Arabidopsis thaliana: one gene and its partners. The protein of the gene in region 3 purifies or fractionates together with the protein of the main gene of each other region. This does not show direct contact. Each region holds a gene or a part of one and is shown on either strand. Other genes may lie near its edges.

Region 1 (5,560 bases), on a different chromosome or scaffold from region 3:
CGTCTTTCTTTACCCTATAGGCTTGGTCCACGTGTCTTCTCCAAAGACGAAACCACTACACACTGTGGTGAATCTTGTAAGGCTTCTGCTGTTGTAACTGCATTTTGTCGTCCGGTCATTTATCATTCAACAATAACCACGGATCTTCAAATCATGTTGAGGCCGCTGACAAAAGTTTATATGTTATTTCATTTTCAAATCTTTTATATCCCACTTGTGCTTGTGGATGAACCTATCTGCATACTCTATATACTCTTTTCTTCTTCTCATCTAAAACAAATTACATTGCATATTACAAATCTTGATGTGTAGCAAAATATACCATGGCTATCTTTGACTTGACTTGAGTTATGTGATGAAACGTTTTGAGTAGGTGTGAACATTTGAAGAACCAGTTATAACAATTTTAGTTTAAGTAAGTACTCGATATTGAATATGATGGTTGTGGAATGAAGATATGAGTTGTTTTTTTCATAGACAATGACATTTACTGAGAAATTCACAAAAATAGTGTATATATTTTGATAAAAAAGTCAAATGCTATTCTGATTGCGAATCACAAGTCTACATTGTTATCAGAATGCATTGAAGTTTATAAACAACAAACACATGGCAAGTGGGTGGAGTTCACATTATCTAAGCAGAATTTACTTGCCTTTGTTCGATTTTAACTCAAAAGTTTGATTTTTATTCTTTTACATATCTCAGCAAAGTTGTGGAGAAATGACTGATCATGCATGAAGTTGTAAGTAACCAAATCGTGCTCAACTCGCAATATCTCTCAGATATACAGTTACTGCTGCGTTCATTTAGAGTCTAAGCGCTGTACGTCTACAAGCTGGTAAAGATCTCCCCGCCGCTGCCTATTCAATGGAAGGCTAGTCCTAAGATGGTAAAAAAAACGAGATTCAGTTAGCGGATCACGCTATCAAAAACCAAGAAAGTTCTGGTGTTTCCGTGATTACCTTCGTTGTTCAAGGATAGAGTAATCAATCTCTGCTATGATAATGGCCTCCTCATGCTCAGTCGTTGCTAGTACTTCTCCAAACTGTCAAATAATATATATGTTTCAAAGTTTAGTGATCAGCTAAAAGCTTCATTATCAATCAAGTAACACAGAAAAAGTTTAGTGCTTACAGGCCCAACGAGTGTTGAGTGCCCCCAAGCAGTGTAGCCAGCTCCTGAATCTCTGGCAGGTGAGCATGTCGCCACATATAACTGGAGAAAGTAGCATACATAGTTCTATTAACCGGTCCATGACTTTGATAACAGTCAATTAAGTAAAACTAACCCCAAAGAGCAGAAGATAATACTTGTATTGATAACTCAAAGAAAAATGCAGGTTTGCTATGAATTCATTAAGAAATGTCAGAACTTGTATCTCTCTTTTGGCTATCAATACAAGTATTTAACTTGGTTCATGTACCTGATTATCCGTAGCCCTGAAATGGAACAAAACAGATCGATGAGCATTGTGATTTACCCATGATTAAATAAGCCAAGAAAGTCGTAATGTAGTAGACTGTGAATCATACCTGGCCCTTTGTAGTAATTCCCAATGCAATGGTCCAGTTGTCATGTTAAAGGCTCCCGGGTAGCACAGCAAATGAGCCCCTGATATGATTAAAGTAAACATGTGGGTGATGAGGTTCTTTAAAACGTAATGGACCCGAAAAAGAGAGGAAGCAGATAGTCCATTTGGATAAAGCATTATGATATGAAGACTCACCTCTTGCAGCATATATCATAGCTAACTCCTGGAACCTGATATCATAACAGATGCCTATTCCAATACGCCCTACATCTGCAACAACCAACAAAACTATCATTCTCAAGCGCTGCACCGCGTTAAAGATTTCTCATAAGTACTAGAAAGTGAGAGGTGATGTGAACGGTCCTACTATGACTTGATTGTTCAATAAAGACATTTCCCCAGTCAAAATAGTTGGCAAGATCTTAAAAACATTATTATTCATAAACACTAGGCCAGCATGAAAATGAATCATTTCACTGTTGAGCTAAGAAGATCCCAAATCTGACTGGAAATTTAAATCCTTAATCCTAAATTATTATTTTTAGATAGTACCACAATGAGTTTATGTAAGATACATGATTGTTTATGCATGACCTGGAATTATATTTGGCAAACCAAGATTATAACCTGTGTCAACGATTGTTGGTGTCTCTCCAGCAGTAAGAGTTTTGGATTCCATAAAAGTAATCTTCCCGGGAATGTCTATATCAAATAAATGTATCTGTATGCACACACAAGTACAAACACAAATAAGTGCAAGCAATCAAAAACAAGATGTTCTGAGAATTGATAATATAAGCATAAAACGGTCAAGGCCATCTCGCCTCATAATTTGTCCTTATGAATCATAGAGGAAGAACTCGAACCAGAACATAACTACCACATCATTCTAATTACTGATTCTAAGTCTATTAGATCCTAAAAACAGATGATAAAAGATGAACAACGATTTTAGAAGTAAGATTAGCATCTTTCATTCTATGGCCTAAAGCAGAGGAAAGTTCATTATTTCTTCTATGAAAGTTTAATCTCAAAAAATCTAACCTTCCGATGCTTAGCTTTTAGCTCTCCATCGGAACCAAAGACACAGCAAGTGTTATACAAACGATCTCCAACTCTTTCTGGTATAGATCCACCAATGATTGTAATCTTGAGACGTTTGGAAACTTCAGAAAGCATTGCCGTTGAAGGAGAAGCATCACCACCTGCATCAATCTCCTCCGCATAAACTGGAAAACTATCATTGGAATACGGACTGTTCCAAATTTCCTGAAACAAACCCATTGAATGGTTTTAAACCCCATAGAGACGATACCACTAGCTCATACTTTTTGTAAATTTTACACATTTGAGCAACAGAACATTAGAATTGAACTCACAAAGAGCTATGAGCTAAGATACAAAGAAGAAAAACTCACGGGTAAGAGAACAAGCTTAGCTCCTTTAGAAGCAGCTTCTTCAATGGCTTTTTTAGCATGAGAGATGTTTCTCTTTTTGTCAGATGTAACAGATAGCTGACACAATCCGATGTTGAACTACAAAATTACCCATGGAACGAAGAAATCAATCAAAAGCTGAAATGATTGAAAACCCAAAGGTAAATGAAAAGAAAGGAGCTAACTTTGGTCAACGGAGGAGCTGGGAGAGGAAGAGCAGAGGGAACTCTAGCTTGTTCAGGGTTGAAAGAAGAAGCCATGGAAGAGGAAATGGATCTTAAAGCTGAGGTTGACGAAGATGGGAGCTTCAAGGTGTGACTAGTGATCGATCTCGGAGATAATTTAGGGAGGAAGTTAGATTTGAGAGAAATGAAGCGAGAAAGAGGATTAGGGTTTAAAAGATTCTTCGAATTGAAGAAGAGTGACGATGAAATTGCTGACTTCATTTCACTTTAGTCCGATGATCATATAGGTAGGTAGATGATATTGATACTTCACCTCACAAAAGCCATGACTCATGAATCCTCTGCGTTTGCGTTTCAACCGTATTGACGCGGTTCAATCAATTTTATACACTAAATTCGAATGAAATCGTACCAAACCGGATAAATTTAACATCCTTACTAAATCCAAAACAGAATACATATGGGCCTGAAAACGAATTGGTCTTGGGCCTGACCGAATCAATCGCTTTTCTCTACATTCGTCTAGAAATATCCATCTACACTTCTCCAACGATCAAGACGTTTCTCGAACGTTAGAGAAGCGCTTTTAAGTTCTATAACACCGAAACAATCGCTCTCTCTACATTGCTCTAGAACTATCCAACTCAACTTCTATTTAATACTTTCTTACATCAAAATCAAAATCAATCAAACCAAAGAAAAAGCCAAGAAGCAAGAAAGTTAACACAACAGCTAAGAATGGATTTGGAGTTTGGAAGGTTTCCAATATTTTCAATCCTCGAAGACATGCTTGAAGCCCCTGAAGAACAAACCGAGAAGACTCGTAACAACCCTTCAAGAGCTTACATGCGAGACGCAAAGGCAATGGCTGCTACACCAGCTGACGTTATCGAGCACCCGGATGCGTACGTTTTCGCCGTGGACATGCCTGGAATCAAAGGAGATGAGATTCAGGTCCAGATAGAGAACGAGAACGTGCTTGTGGTGAGTGGCAAAAGACAGAGGGACAACAAGGAGAATGAAGGTGTGAAGTTTGTGAGGATGGAGAGGAGGATGGGGAAGTTTATGAGGAAGTTTCAGTTACCTGATAATGCAGATTTGGAGAAGATCTCTGCGGCTTGTAATGACGGTGTGTTGAAAGTGACTATTCCGAAACTTCCTCCTCCTGAGCCAAAGAAACCAAAGACTATACAAGTTCAAGTCGCTTGAGTTTGTTTGTGATCGTGTTTTTGTGTTTTAATGAATGTAATCGATAAGCAACTACCTCTTGGTGTTCGTTGTAAAATGAAATAAAAATAGTTTTCTCTGTTCATATTTGTCTTTGTGTTCAATCTTCAAATCAATGAAGTTTTTGCTCTCTTGAACCATCCATGCTTATGAGGCAAAAATAGGACCACAACAAAAAAGACACCGAATGGTCATTCCTCTGTTTTTGCAGAAATTATTACTGTTCATCCTTTCCTAATATCATTGGTGCTATTTAGCACATTGGCCATCAAATCCACATTTGCATTTCACCCTTATCTCTGCAGTCAGCAAAATATATTTTTGGAGTTATGTCCCTTGAAGTAATTTATGGGTATGAGATCAGTAACACAGTGTTATTATATCTGCAAAAACTCTTACATATTCAATTTTATCCTTTAAGTATTAGATGAAAGGAAACAATTTTGTTATTCTGATTTTAAAATCCAAACAACTCTTTGTACTTTTTTCATGTTGGATAACGTAACTGAATCTTCAGCTACTACATCTGTAGTATAATACGAAGTCTGATATCTCAATCTGCTACATTATTTTTTAAATGAAATTTGCATTTGCGAATGCAAATAACATCAACTGAGTTTTAAGACAAATCAAGTTTTGTGCAGATTTGTAACCGTCTTTAATAGCTTATATTAATGTCGTTATACACGATTTAGTGGTATTCAGTGAGTTAGTGCTACCACATATATAGTATTTTTCTTTGGTCACTAAAATAAATATGGTCTTTCATTAATTTTTCTGACCAGAAACCAGAGCATATACTAATTTAGTCTTGTTTCCATCATTAAGACTTTGAACTTCTGATCTTGAGGTGCATGTTGTACACTTGTAATCCAAGTCTTCAGCAATTGTATGTACTTTCCAGTTGAATGTATTCTTTAAAATGAGCAATATTGTTCGGATTCCTTAAATCACAAAATTTGTTCTTTAATTTGCTAAAACACTAATCTTATGAATCATGAACTATTTTCACATATGGAATGGGCCTTGATATATTCCTAATTTAAAAGCCCATATAGATATTAAAAATTCTGTAAAGTTATGGCTCATATTTTATCAAACCTGAGTTACAGAGTTCACAAAAACCAGAACGACCAAGACGTTTCTCGAACAATACGGAAGAACTTCTAAAGACCGCG
Region 2 (3,395 bases), 9.3 Mb from region 3:
AAGCATCATAAAATCATCAAATGACAATCTTCTGTCTATGTCGCTTCAGCAAGAAGAATCTAATGTTGGCTTGCCTGGAGGAAACGGCCAGCTTTTAACTCTCGGGGTGGGTCTGTTGGTTACTGCATTGGCTGGAACATATGTGACAAGCCTTGCAAAGGTAAACTCATACTTGTTTACTTCTTTTCTTTCTCTGTTCTGCGTTATATTTGCCTCCCACTTCTGATATCAAACCAACTGGTTCAAAGCTTCGTAGCATATAAGCTCAGAAAAGTCCCACATTTGGTTGAAACTTAAAAGATGTAAAGTGAAATGAATCTGTCTCATGTATATCTTTTACTTGCCGTGTGTTGCAGGATGCTATAAAGGATATTGATGATGATGAGAAGAGAGATGCAAAGTAGGAAACAAGCCAGCGATTGGATAATGGTTTTGACTCTCTAGGATTTGTAAAACGCCAACAGAGTATCATGTATCAACGTTAAATGTATTGCTCCATTATTGTTAATAGTTGATATATAATTCGAATCTTTTTTGTCCTTCAAATTTAAGCACCAATAATAAGTGAGAAAATGCTTTCTAGACAAAAAAAAGGAAAATGAGCCTCAGAAAATCAAATGTACTCGATAAAGTGAGCCTCAGCACACATTACAGCCAAATTCCCACCAAGAACGTAATTGATGATAAACAAAAAAAGTTTGAGATTTTATTTGGCAAAAGAATATAGCAAAGTAAAAAAGCCTCATCTGAGAGAGACTTAACAACTCAGAATCAATCCACCATCAGATTCACTTAGGCGCAGTAGATTCCTTCAAGTAGGCGATGAGATCAGCACGGTCTTGCGGCTTCTTTAGCCCAGGGAACACCATCTTGGTACCTGGTATGTACTGCATCATATAAAAAGGCCATCAATCTCAATGTTAACAACAACAACTCATGAAACAATCATGACATGATTATACAAACCTTCTTGGGGTTGAGCAAGTAATCGTACAAGGCCTTCTCTTCCCATTCCACAGCTTTGTTCTTGTTAGCAGCAGAGTAAGAGTAACCAGCAGTTGTACCAGATTGTCTTCCAAATAGACCGTTTAGATTGGGTCCTATATTAAAACAACAAGGTCAAGTGTTGAGCAACAATGTGACGCAAATCACATTCTACAAAAGCTACGAAAACAATAGAAACCATTGAGCAACAGTGTTTTCTAATTTCACGCAATTTCAAGAAAAAATGAGAATCTGTGACGCAACTAGCTCAAATCATTGTTGTATCATTACTTAGAATTCGAGAATCAAGTTCCACAAAAATGCGAAAAGTTGTATATAAAAACCTCAGAAATTCGTCACATGCATTGAGCTGAAGATTTAAGGATAAACACGAGTAAGACATCGAGGTTATTGGATCAGATCTATGATCTAATCGAAGAATCCGTTAACCAGATCACATCAGAGATTTTTGATTAACATGAACAAATCGATTATAAAGCGATGTAAAACAAAGGCCCGATAAAAATTCAGATAAATTGCGAAAATCAACCATAGAAATAGAATTCAAGAGTGAGAGAGATCGATGAGTGAAAACCTTGTTTGTGACCGGCGCCTGCTTCGACGGTGTGACACTGAGCACACTTGGTCCTGAAGATCTTCTCACCGGCCTTGGCGTTTCCTGGTGGTGCTTCATCAAACGACGCCATTTTTTTCGCTTGAGCTACGCGATCAGGAACAACAAGAGAAAATGATTACGGAACTCTCGTTTCTCTGGAGCTTGCCGAAGTTTCCTTAGGGTTTCACTGTGGAAAAAGTGACCTCTCTTAAAAAAGCAGTATCTCCAATCTTAATGGGCCCTTAATGGGTTTAGGTGGGCTCATATTTATTTCATATATAATGCTGTTTATGCTTGTTACTCATACTTGCGAAGGACCATCCCCTAGTTCATGTAAACTTATGTTTACAGGAAATCATGCAATTAAAACTTGTTGTATATAAGATTTATGTACAAATTGATTCTCCAGTTTGATAAAATATTTCTATCAGAATTTGATTCTTTATCCTACTTCTACAAGACGTTCTTCATCTGAACTTTGCTCCTGATTGATGACAGAATCATCGTTCATCGGCTTATTATTCTCTCCATCTAACTCCGAATCTGTTTCCATCAAAGCAAACTCATGAGCCTTTTGCACGCCCAAGTCACTCAGTAAAGTCTTCACCGTTACAAGCTTGCTCCAAGAACCAGTTACTGCATACATATCTGCAAGCAACATATAGTGACCTAAGTGTTCTGGCTTTGTTTCTAGTAGTAACTTATCTGCAGCCCACTCCCCAATGTTTGTGTTCCCGTGGATGAGGCACGCTTTCAGTAGAGTAGCACACATAGCACTTGATGGCTCGTAAGGTATTGTATGGAATATATCTCTGGCTTTATCCAGGTAACCTGCTCTGCAATAAAGATCAACCATACAAGAATAGTGTTCAAGGCGAAGGCGTATACCAAACACATGCTCCATCTTCGTAAACAACCAGTGTCCTTCACGCACTAAATTGGAATGGCTGCAAGCTGATAAAACTGCAACCATAGTTACATGATCAGGTTTGATACCGGATCTGTCCATATCCTTGAACCATGCCAATGCGACTTCTCCTTTACCCAGCCTGCCATATCCATCGATCAAAGAAGTGTATGTCACTTTGTCCCTCTTCCTCATCGAATCAAATACTCGCTTTGCAGCTATGATTTCACCGGATTTTGCATACATATCGACAAGGGAGTTCCACAGGATTAAACAGTCCTTGTAGCTTTGGCGTCTCAGGATGTAGCAGTGAAACTCTTTCCCATGTTGCAGGTTTCCCACCCGAGCAAAAAGAGGGAGAATGCTAGCAAGCGTAATGTGATTTGGGTGAAATCCAGAGAGCAACATCTCCTTGAGCAGGAAAGAGGTTTCTTCTGATCTCTCGTTGTATGCAAAACCGGAAATGATAGAATTCCATGTACTCAAACTATTTGCTTCAACCTGCTGAAACACTATAAACGCGTGCCTAAGATCACTGCATCTTGAGTACATTGTGATCAACGAATTCCGAACATTGTCAATATCATGGGAAAAACTACAACTACGGATCACAAGGCAATGAAATACTTTCCCCCACTTTAACGCTCCAATGTGTGAGCATGCCTTTAAACCATTAATCATAGCTACAGAACCTATTCTTACATTGCAATTTCTCATCCCAACAACACAATTCAAAGCCCCTATGTAATTTCCTGCCTCCAAACAACCTCCAGCTATTGTGTTCCAAGTTACAATACTCGCTTCGACACCAGAGAGATACATTCTATCAAGAAGCTTAAAAGCTTCCCCTAACTTTTCTTCTGAAGTATAACAGTTGATTATTGCATT
Region 3 (8,477 bases):
TTGATACAAATATATAAATTAACATATTATGCTTGTCACACTTGTTTAGGTTTCACACGTATTGATTATCAGTTTTTTTGTTGTGCCAAAATTCTTTAAAATCTTCTCTTTACAATATCTTTTCATTAGTTATATGCGAGTGATGAACATAAATAATTCTTTTTACTTTGCCAAAAAAAAATAAAAAAAAATCTTTTTACTGCAGTGATAAGAGTTATGCAATTTTTTTTCTATATATGTAAATTTTAGAGTTCATCTTCTAACCATCACAATAATTGAAGATAAATCAAAATTCAAAATATCTATCTAACATTAACATAGATTGGAATGTTATATTGTACACTAAGTATATATATAGTATAACTTACTATAATGATCTAAATTCAGGATTGTAATAAACTCAAAAGTCAAAAAAGTATGAAAAGACGTACTAATAATATTCACGTAGTTTAATTAGATGAATCAAGTTTTATACAATAAGATTTACTCAATTAGCTTGGGCCTATGATAGAGAAATATTGTAACAGCAATATGGTATGTTTTGATTCAACAACACCAAATTACTAAAAGAAATGGCCCAGTCAATTACAAATCGAGAAGGCAATGGTATGATTATATATAGATGGTCGTTGTAAATTTAATAATGTGGAAATTAAAGCAAATAAATCAAATTTTGGGATAAAAGTAAGGCACGGCCAAAAAGGAGTTGGGTTCTTGGTGTAATTATGACTTTGTGGGAGCATGTGAATGAAATAATGGTGGTCATAGATTTAGAGCTTTCCTAAAAATAAGATATATATGATGTCAAAAGAAAAACAATAGATCTATACAGAATCCAAAGACATTTCAGAAGAAAAACCATTGATAAACATACACTAAGCTTCTGTTATATATTTTGCTAAAGTACAGTTAGCTTCTCGAGGATGTAAAAATGTCCTAATTCTTGAAGGAATATAGATTACAAACAAAGATCCTGAAGGTATGTTTCTTTTAATTATTGAATATAACCACAATATCAAAATGTTGAAGAAGGTTAAGATAAGGTCGATTTCTTTGTTTTACACGTATTTTATTGGTGAGTAAGAAAAATTACAAAATGTAAAACAGAAAAGAAGATCTATACTATCTTTGCGTGTCATGATAACGTTAGTTTGGTGCCATGTCTTATAGTTTCTCTATCACTTTCATGTATTTTGCTTCAAGTAAGATATGATATTTTTTCAACATAATCAACTTAGAACTTTTTTGAGATGAATTCGTAAAGTTGTTTTCTATTTACTTAACCCTGATTTGTCTTAATATCCGGAAGCCTAATTAGGATGATTTTGTACTTTCAGAATCTAATCTTGGTCAATGGTCGTAATATTTCTTTAATTGTTCATCAGATAATAAACAGTAGAAAGGTATGAAAACGAAAGTGGTGTTGCGTGCATTGAAAAGAACACAAGTGATGTTAGATAAACTGTCATTGTGCAGCTCAGTTTTGTCTATAAATCCTAAACTCAGAAATTATCTAGAGATTTCAACCTTTCACTCATTTGTATTCTATTACAAATCATTGAGTTTAGAAATAAAATTTGCAGCTGAGAATGGTATTTTGCGGTGACGACGTTGCCACAGGGGTGAGAGATGCTATCACTTATTGTTACAGATGCAAAGGCAGAAAAGTTACACTTTCTGATCACGAAGCCGATGATGATAACAAGCCTATCGGGGATTTTGACTACGACCATGAAGTAACTAGAAAACTCATTCATTTGCCTTTGTTTTTCATTTTTGCTTTCTTCTATAACTATTCTTCGACAACACGAATTACACGAATTACACAACCTTTCGTTTTGTGATTGTTGATTTCAGGTTGTTGTTTTCGAGATCAGAAGTCGGGCGATGGAAAAACTAAGGAAGAAGCGAAGGACAGGAATGGAGGGGCTAACTTACAAATTCGTAAAAGAATATGACATCGAAAACGAATTCTGTTCGGTAAGAAGCAGTTTTTCGGAATGTTGCATGAGTGATATCAGCATAGAAGGATACATGACAGCGAAAACTGAGTTCTCAAGGAGTTCAAGCTTGAAAGGTTTAGAGCTGGAGAATCAATGGAAGATGCATTACGTTAATGAAATTAAGAAAGGATCAGTGATTCAAGAGTTCTGTCATTGCCAAGGATGGCCATTTGGATTGGGACGAAAAGCTGCGTTGCTTCCACCGCTTCCAAAGTCACCTGCAGAGTCATGGTCTTGGAGGAAGCCTACAAGAGTTACTCCAGTTCCTTTTGTTTGACAAAAAGGTAGCTCAAAATATTGAATCATTATAAACAAAAGATCTCTCATAAAAGGAAACAGTAACAAATGAACACAAATTCATGTGAGTTTATTTTTCAATTGGTGTTAAGCTCTAAATTTTAAAGCTTCATTTGGAGGAAACAATGAACAGACTCACCTGATATGTCTTTTGGTCAGATTGACCTTTATTATGTGCTAAGACAAAATAACGCAATAACAACATAACAAGCTTCGCACGTAATTCTAGATCTTCTCTTTTTGTTTTAGGCCCTTTGCTCCACGTAAGATCCCGAGAGTCCTGAGGTTCCAAGAACAGTAACCTACAAAAATATTAAAACAAAGCGTTAGCAAGACAACTACTGGTTCAGTGGTTTCGTCTAAATGAAAACACTAGTTTCTGCCAAATTCTATATGATTTCATTCGGATAGCTAGCCTAAAAGATGCATAAGGTTGAGAAAAAAAGATCACATATAGTACGAGTGAGACTTTGGAGGACAAGTTGAAATCGTAAATAATTATGCAAACTCATACTTTAATCAGGCTTATTCTAGCTTATATGATGCTGTCAAAGATGCAAATCAACAGAGTACGTGTTTTGAGAGTATAGATCAGATTTGATTACCTTTCCCCATTCAGAACCAAGCCCGCTGCATCTCATCTTCAAGTGGATCATCTTAGTCCCCAACTCCATCTCAACCTTCTTCTTCAAGTAGACTTCTTCAGGTTCAAAGGAGTCTAGATACTCAGCATACCTCTGATAAGCAGTACGCAGCGCATCGGTTATATCATTTGGTAAAGGCTTCACACCCTGCACACAATACAACTAAAACATCAAACAACCAGAAATCAAGAAAATGGTTTAGTGAAGGAAACAAACAAACAAACCTCCCCACTCATTCCAATGCTATCATCGATTTCCATCTTAATCGAAGTGAGAATCCCACCAAATTCCTCTACAGCTTCAGCTGCTCGGAACACATTTTTCAAAGCCTCTTGCCCTGCCTTGTCATCTGTGTTTTTCGATATCGCGGTTTTAGCATCTTTAACAACAGCAGAAGGAAGCTCAGCCCAATCTGCAGCCATCAAGTCTTTGAATGCATTCAGAACATCAGAGTCTTCCATTTCAGGCATGTGAGAAACATCTTCGCTAAATCTCCGGACCTGTCCCATTCCCATTGCACGAGGATACTGCAAATCTGCGTATTTTTACAGTCAAATACGAAGTGCACGCACAAATAGACCTCTCAAAACACCTAATCAATGTATCTACAAAATGCATTCGTAAAGAAATCAGGAGGCTCACCACGAGAAACACTTGCATACGAAATGAACGAGCCTTTATTGATCTGAACATCACCAATCACAGAAGCGTTCGGAGCCACAGTAATCAACGTCCGATGCCTCGACACTGAAAACAAACCACAAATTTCTCAAATCAAAGTTTTCAATCTAAACTACAAATTTCTCGAATCAAAAGGAAATTATTGATACAAATGAGAGATACAGAATTGGATCTAGGGTTCAATAGAGCGAAGCAAGTGGAAGCTTACGATGTTTCTCGATGTGGTGGCTTCCTTGAAGAAGAGAACCAACGCGAGCTTGGGCTTGGGCAGTTCCACGAATCCGATTACCCACAGTGTGAATCGCTCGTCCTAGGGTTCCCATTTTTCTGATTTTTCCGATTACCCAAAGAGAGAGACAGAGAGGGACAGAGAGAGCTTGTTTTGAAGAAGAGAACCAACGCGATCGCTTTATTCAGTTCGTTGATTTTGTTGTTGACCTCCAAACCATATCAAATTGAACCAAACCGAAACTTTTTAATCTAAGCTTAACCAAATAAATAGGGCTGGCTGAAAATAACCGAAATACATACAGAACGGTTCGCTTGTCGGTTTTTTTCCTTAAGGTTCCGATTGCTAAAATTGCATAATAGCATAATGACATAAATTGTAGAATAAAAATTTCGCAGAATGAAAATTTGCAAACTAAAAAATCGTCGAATGAAACTAATTTTAAAATATATTAATTGGATATATTTTGCAAAATGACAAATAAATATTTCAAGAAGATCATGAGACTGCCACAAACCGAAGAACACATAGGACGACACGAGGCAAATGAATGGCTGGAAGCAAACAGTTATACTGAAGGCACAAGAGGTAGTCAAACAAACAAGAATACGGTTCATGACAGAGGTTCTCAATGGCGACCACCACCAAGAGGATGGGTGAAGTGTAATTTTGACAGTGGCTTTATGCTGGGACGATCCTTTACAAATACGGGATGGTTGATAAGGGACGATGAAGGAAAGGTTTTAATTACAGGCTGTTGAAAACTACCATCGACTAATTCACCTTTACAGGCGGAAGCTACCGGGTTGTTACATGTCCTTCAAGTAGTTTGGGCTTGTGGAATAAAAAATGTTTGTTTTGATGGAGACAACCAAGAACTTATAGCAACTATCAATAATGGTGATGATCATTCTCTGATAGGGGCTCTTCTTTACGATATTCGTCATTGGATGGCCAAACTATCCAACGTATCTCTACTCCATGTCAATCGTGAACGAAATAGTGCTGCAGATAAGATGGCTCAATACGTTCTGTCTACTACTACTCTGTATCAGTTCTTTATTGTCCCTCCTCGTTTCTTACTTTCTTATTTGTATCAACCTTATACAATTTAATAAAGTTGAAGTTGTTAAAAAAAAAATATTATATTAACAATATATATGTAGATATATATATATATATATAAACTTAATAAAAAATAATGTTTAAAACAAATTAGTATATTTGAGTAATTTTCGATACTAAAAATGTAAGATAATTAAAATTTATTAAAAAGTTATGAAAATGTTTTTTTGTATTACTAATGATATAATTTTGTGTAAACTATGATACTTTTTTTTTTACAATTGCTAATATTTGTATGCATAGAATAATAAGATTATATTATGCAAATAAATAATTATATACACACTTTTTGGCATAATGAATTTTTACTTAAAACAAAAATACAAATCTTACGTTTTTGCGTTTTCTAATACAATTATGCAGATTTTTTTTATTGGCAAATTTTCTGCATTATGTGTGTTACCAATAAGAGCCTAAATTGTTTTCAGATTATCGTATAAGAGTTAAGATCAATGTAAAAAATAACACAAATCGATATATTAATTAAATAATAAATTTTTGAAAATTTTATGTAAATATATGGTCTCATTAATATCATAAATTAATAATTGTAAAAGTTTTTTTAAATATATATATGTTATACGGAAGAAAAATAGTGAAATATGAATTTGCTAATATTTTTATTTTTATTTATATTAATTCTTGGTAAAGTTTATTTAATATCTTTTTACTACATCGAAAACGTTCTTTTTTTTATTTTCTAAAGTTAATAATTTATTATTATTTGAGGTTTAACGTTACCATCGTAAAGTTAAAAATATAATGATTATAAAGAAGAAGAAAAAATTCAGACATAATATTTTTTTTTAAATTACAAAATTAGTCTAAAATCTCTACAAATTAATAATTATTAATTTATCGATAAATTAATACTTTTATAAATTAATAGAATTTCATAGTTCAAACATTTATATATGTGATAAAATTACAAAAATGAAGTAGCAATATTTTTGCATGGCCAAAACAAATAATAAAAAAAGATAGCACGGCCATGATCGAGGAGATTAAAATACATCGAACGTAACGTTGGATGCATTTACAAGTGCCATAGCATGACTTTCTTGGGACGAGGATCATGGATGAATAAATATACTTGTTGAACAACATATGTTATGTTGCACGAGCAAATTAATTTCACATGGTGACGTTATCGACTAATGATGACAGTAGTCTGTTGAAGTGAATCAATGAGGTACTGAAAAGTCATAGAACGTGGAAAATTTACATTTATCTTGTCTGCTAGAAACAATTGTATAGAGTTTTCCAAATTTGAAAATCAACATGTGAAGAAATTTTTGTTGATCTTCAGTCTTACAAATTTTTGGATAGCTGCTTTCCGGCTGCCCAAAGCATGCTTTCAAGAAATAGATAAACTGTGTTCAAGTTCTCTGTGGTCAAGACCATCGATGAACCCTTGAAAGGTAAAAGTGGCATGGACTGAGGTCTGCACACCAAAGAATGAAGGTGGACTAGGGCTGCGGTCGATTGAAGAAGCAAACAAAGTAAGTGTATTAAAGTTGATATGGCGTATACTGTCGGCTAAAGGATCTTTGTGGGTTGAATGGGTAAAGAAATATTTCATAAGAAAAGGCTCCTTCTCGGCAGTAAAAGACACTACAACTTGCGGTTCTTGGATATGGAATATAGAGGGATAGCACAACAGTTCTATAGAGTAGAGGTCAAAAATGGAGAAACGACCTCATTTTGGTTTGATGAATGGAGTAATATAGGCTGTCTATATGAAAAACTTGGGATAAGAGGATGTATTGACTTGGGAATCTGAGTTACTGCAACTGTGGGGGAGGTAATGTCCATGAATCGAAGAAAGAAACATAGGCAGGACCTCTTAAATACGGTTGAAAACGCTATCAAAAGCCAGAAACCTGCACAACAAAATGATGAGACTGATATCGGGCTATGGAAAGGGAGAAATGACCATCACCGAAACGTTTTTAATTCGAAAGAAACGTGGATGCAGATACGTAACACTAGGCCATTGATGGAGGATTACAAAGGAATCTGGTTCCCCTACTTGACTCCAAAATACTCCTTCATCACTTGGTTAGTCGCAAAAAACAGAGTAACAACCGGAGCTCGGATGCTCAAGTGGAATAGACAAGCTGATTCAAGTTGCATCTTTTGCCAAGATCCTATGGAGACTTGGGAACATCTGTTCTTCTTATGTCCCTTTTCTTTTCAGGTGTGGCGGGAACTAGCAAAGGGGATTCTCACCACCGACTTCACAGCTAGCTGGAGAGACATCCTCAAGTTGATACAAGGAAATGATCTTGGCAAAACAAAGTGTCTCATCCTTCGGTACATTTTTCAGAATGCCATTCACTCTATTTGGAGAGAGCGAAATAACAGGAAACACAGTGAAGATCACTCAACAATTATGAGACTTGTAAAAATGATCGACAAAAACATTCGCAGCAGGCTAAGCACCATTCAGAGTGGAGGGGACTCAAAGTACGCAGGAGGCATACAATTTTGGTTTCAATCATGACAACAGTTTTAATCTATGAGTTCTTCCTATCATGATTTAAATTAAAAACAGTATGCACTTTGATGTAAACATGTTTATTTTTTCTTGAATATAATTTAATATTAAATTCAAAAGAAAAAAAACATGTGAAGAAATCTATAAATATAGGTTTTAAGAAACAAAGAAAAGCATAAGAAAGAGAGTCGTACGCCTACCAAAAAAAGAAAGAAAATCGTGAAGATGAGAGGCGTAACACCAAACTATTACCGTTCTTACACTTTCTTCTTCTTCGTCGATGTCTTATTAGCTCTGTTTCTTTATGTGTTCTCGAACAATACTCACTGTCAGCCCTAAAATTTGGGGGGCCTAAAAAATTTCTAAAAGGGAAAAAAAAAATTGGGGGCTTTTTTGTAAAGAAAAAATTCCCAAAATTTTGGGGGCGACAATCAATTGTTTCTCCCTATCAATACTTTGTCATGTACAGAAACTCTGACAATCTCAAGCAACCGAACTATTGTGTCTCCCGGTAACGTCTTCTAGCTAGGTTTCTTCAAAACCACAGCAAGCTCTCGAAATGGATATGGTTGGTATCTTGGGATTTGGTACAAGTCAATCTCTGAGAGAACTTATGGATGGGTTGCCAACAGAGACAATCCTCTTTCCAAATCCATTGGAACATTAAAGATCTCTTACGCTAAGATCATTCTCGTACTCCTGTTTGGTCAAAGAATCTGACGAGAACGGTAAAATCTCCAGTGGTGGCAGAGCTGCTCGATAACGGCAACTTCGTGCTTCGAGACTCCAAAATCAACTATCAAAACCGATTCTTGTGGCAAAGCTTTGATTATCCGGTGGACACATTACTCCCAGAGATGAAGATTGGTCGGGATCTCAAAACAGGATACGAGACTTTCCTCAGTTTTTGGAGACTCCCTTAAGCGGAGGCTTCTCGTTCAAACTCGGAACTCAAGGCTACATGAGTTTTATCTTTACAAGAAAGAGTTTCTATTGTA

What was found. The genes of interacting proteins can lie anywhere in the genome.
Region 1: the proteins of SDH5 (region 3) and AT5G12040 purify together in Arabidopsis thaliana (affinity purification with mass spectrometry, with the first as the bait; one large-scale study listed by BioGRID). This does not show direct contact.
Region 2: the proteins of SDH5 (region 3) and CYTC-1 purify together in Arabidopsis thaliana (affinity purification with mass spectrometry, with the first as the bait; one large-scale study listed by BioGRID). This does not show direct contact.

The regions. Positions count from the first base shown.
Region 1 is NC_003076.8:3,883,018-3,888,577, reverse strand, and holds AT5G12040 (Nitrilase/cyanide hydratase and apolipoprotein N-acyltransferase family protein), read right to left. Parts: upstream 3,630-5,560; 5' UTR 3,417-3,629; coding exon 3,156-3,416; intron 3,070-3,155; coding exon 2,953-3,069; intron 2,804-2,952; coding exon 2,579-2,803; intron 2,256-2,578; coding exon 2,162-2,255; intron 1,805-2,161; coding exon 1,730-1,804; intron 1,615-1,729; coding exon 1,536-1,614; intron 1,443-1,535; coding exon 1,427-1,442; coding exon of another isoform or gene 1,409-1,426; exon of another isoform or gene 1,219-1,408; coding exon 1,138-1,218; intron 1,049-1,137; coding exon 966-1,048; intron 885-965; coding exon 806-884; 3' UTR 501-805; downstream 1-500. Other genes in the region: HSP17.6A (heat shock protein 17.6A), read left to right, coding at 3,894-4,364. UniProt on the Arabidopsis thaliana protein: Omega-amidase involved in the metabolism of asparagine. Probably also closely coupled with glutamine transamination in the methionine salvage cycle.
Region 2 is NC_003070.9:8,077,680-8,081,074, reverse strand, and holds CYTC-1 (CYTOCHROME C-1), read right to left. Parts: upstream 1,789-3,395; 5' UTR 1,692-1,788; coding exon 1,580-1,691; intron 1,564-1,579; exon of another isoform or gene 1,101-1,563; coding exon 967-1,100; coding exon of another isoform or gene 963-966; intron 888-962; coding exon 789-887; 3' UTR 501-788; downstream 1-500. Other genes in the region: AT1G22850 (SNARE associated Golgi protein family), read left to right, coding at 50-160, 357-404; AT1G22830 (Tetratricopeptide repeat (TPR)-like superfamily protein), read right to left, coding at 2,043-3,395. UniProt on the Arabidopsis thaliana protein: Electron carrier protein. The oxidized form of the cytochrome c heme group can accept an electron from the heme group of the cytochrome c1 subunit of cytochrome reductase.
Region 3 is NC_003070.9:17,393,229-17,401,705, forward strand, and holds SDH5 (succinate dehydrogenase 5), read right to left. Parts: upstream 4,036-8,477; 5' UTR 3,949-4,035; coding exon 3,834-3,948; intron 3,692-3,833; coding exon 3,587-3,691; intron 3,480-3,586; coding exon 3,169-3,479; intron 3,092-3,168; coding exon 2,906-3,091; intron 2,603-2,905; coding exon 2,546-2,602; 3' UTR 2,290-2,545; downstream 1-2,289. Other genes in the region: AT1G47410 (uncharacterized protein), read left to right, coding at 1,590-1,736, 1,858-2,280.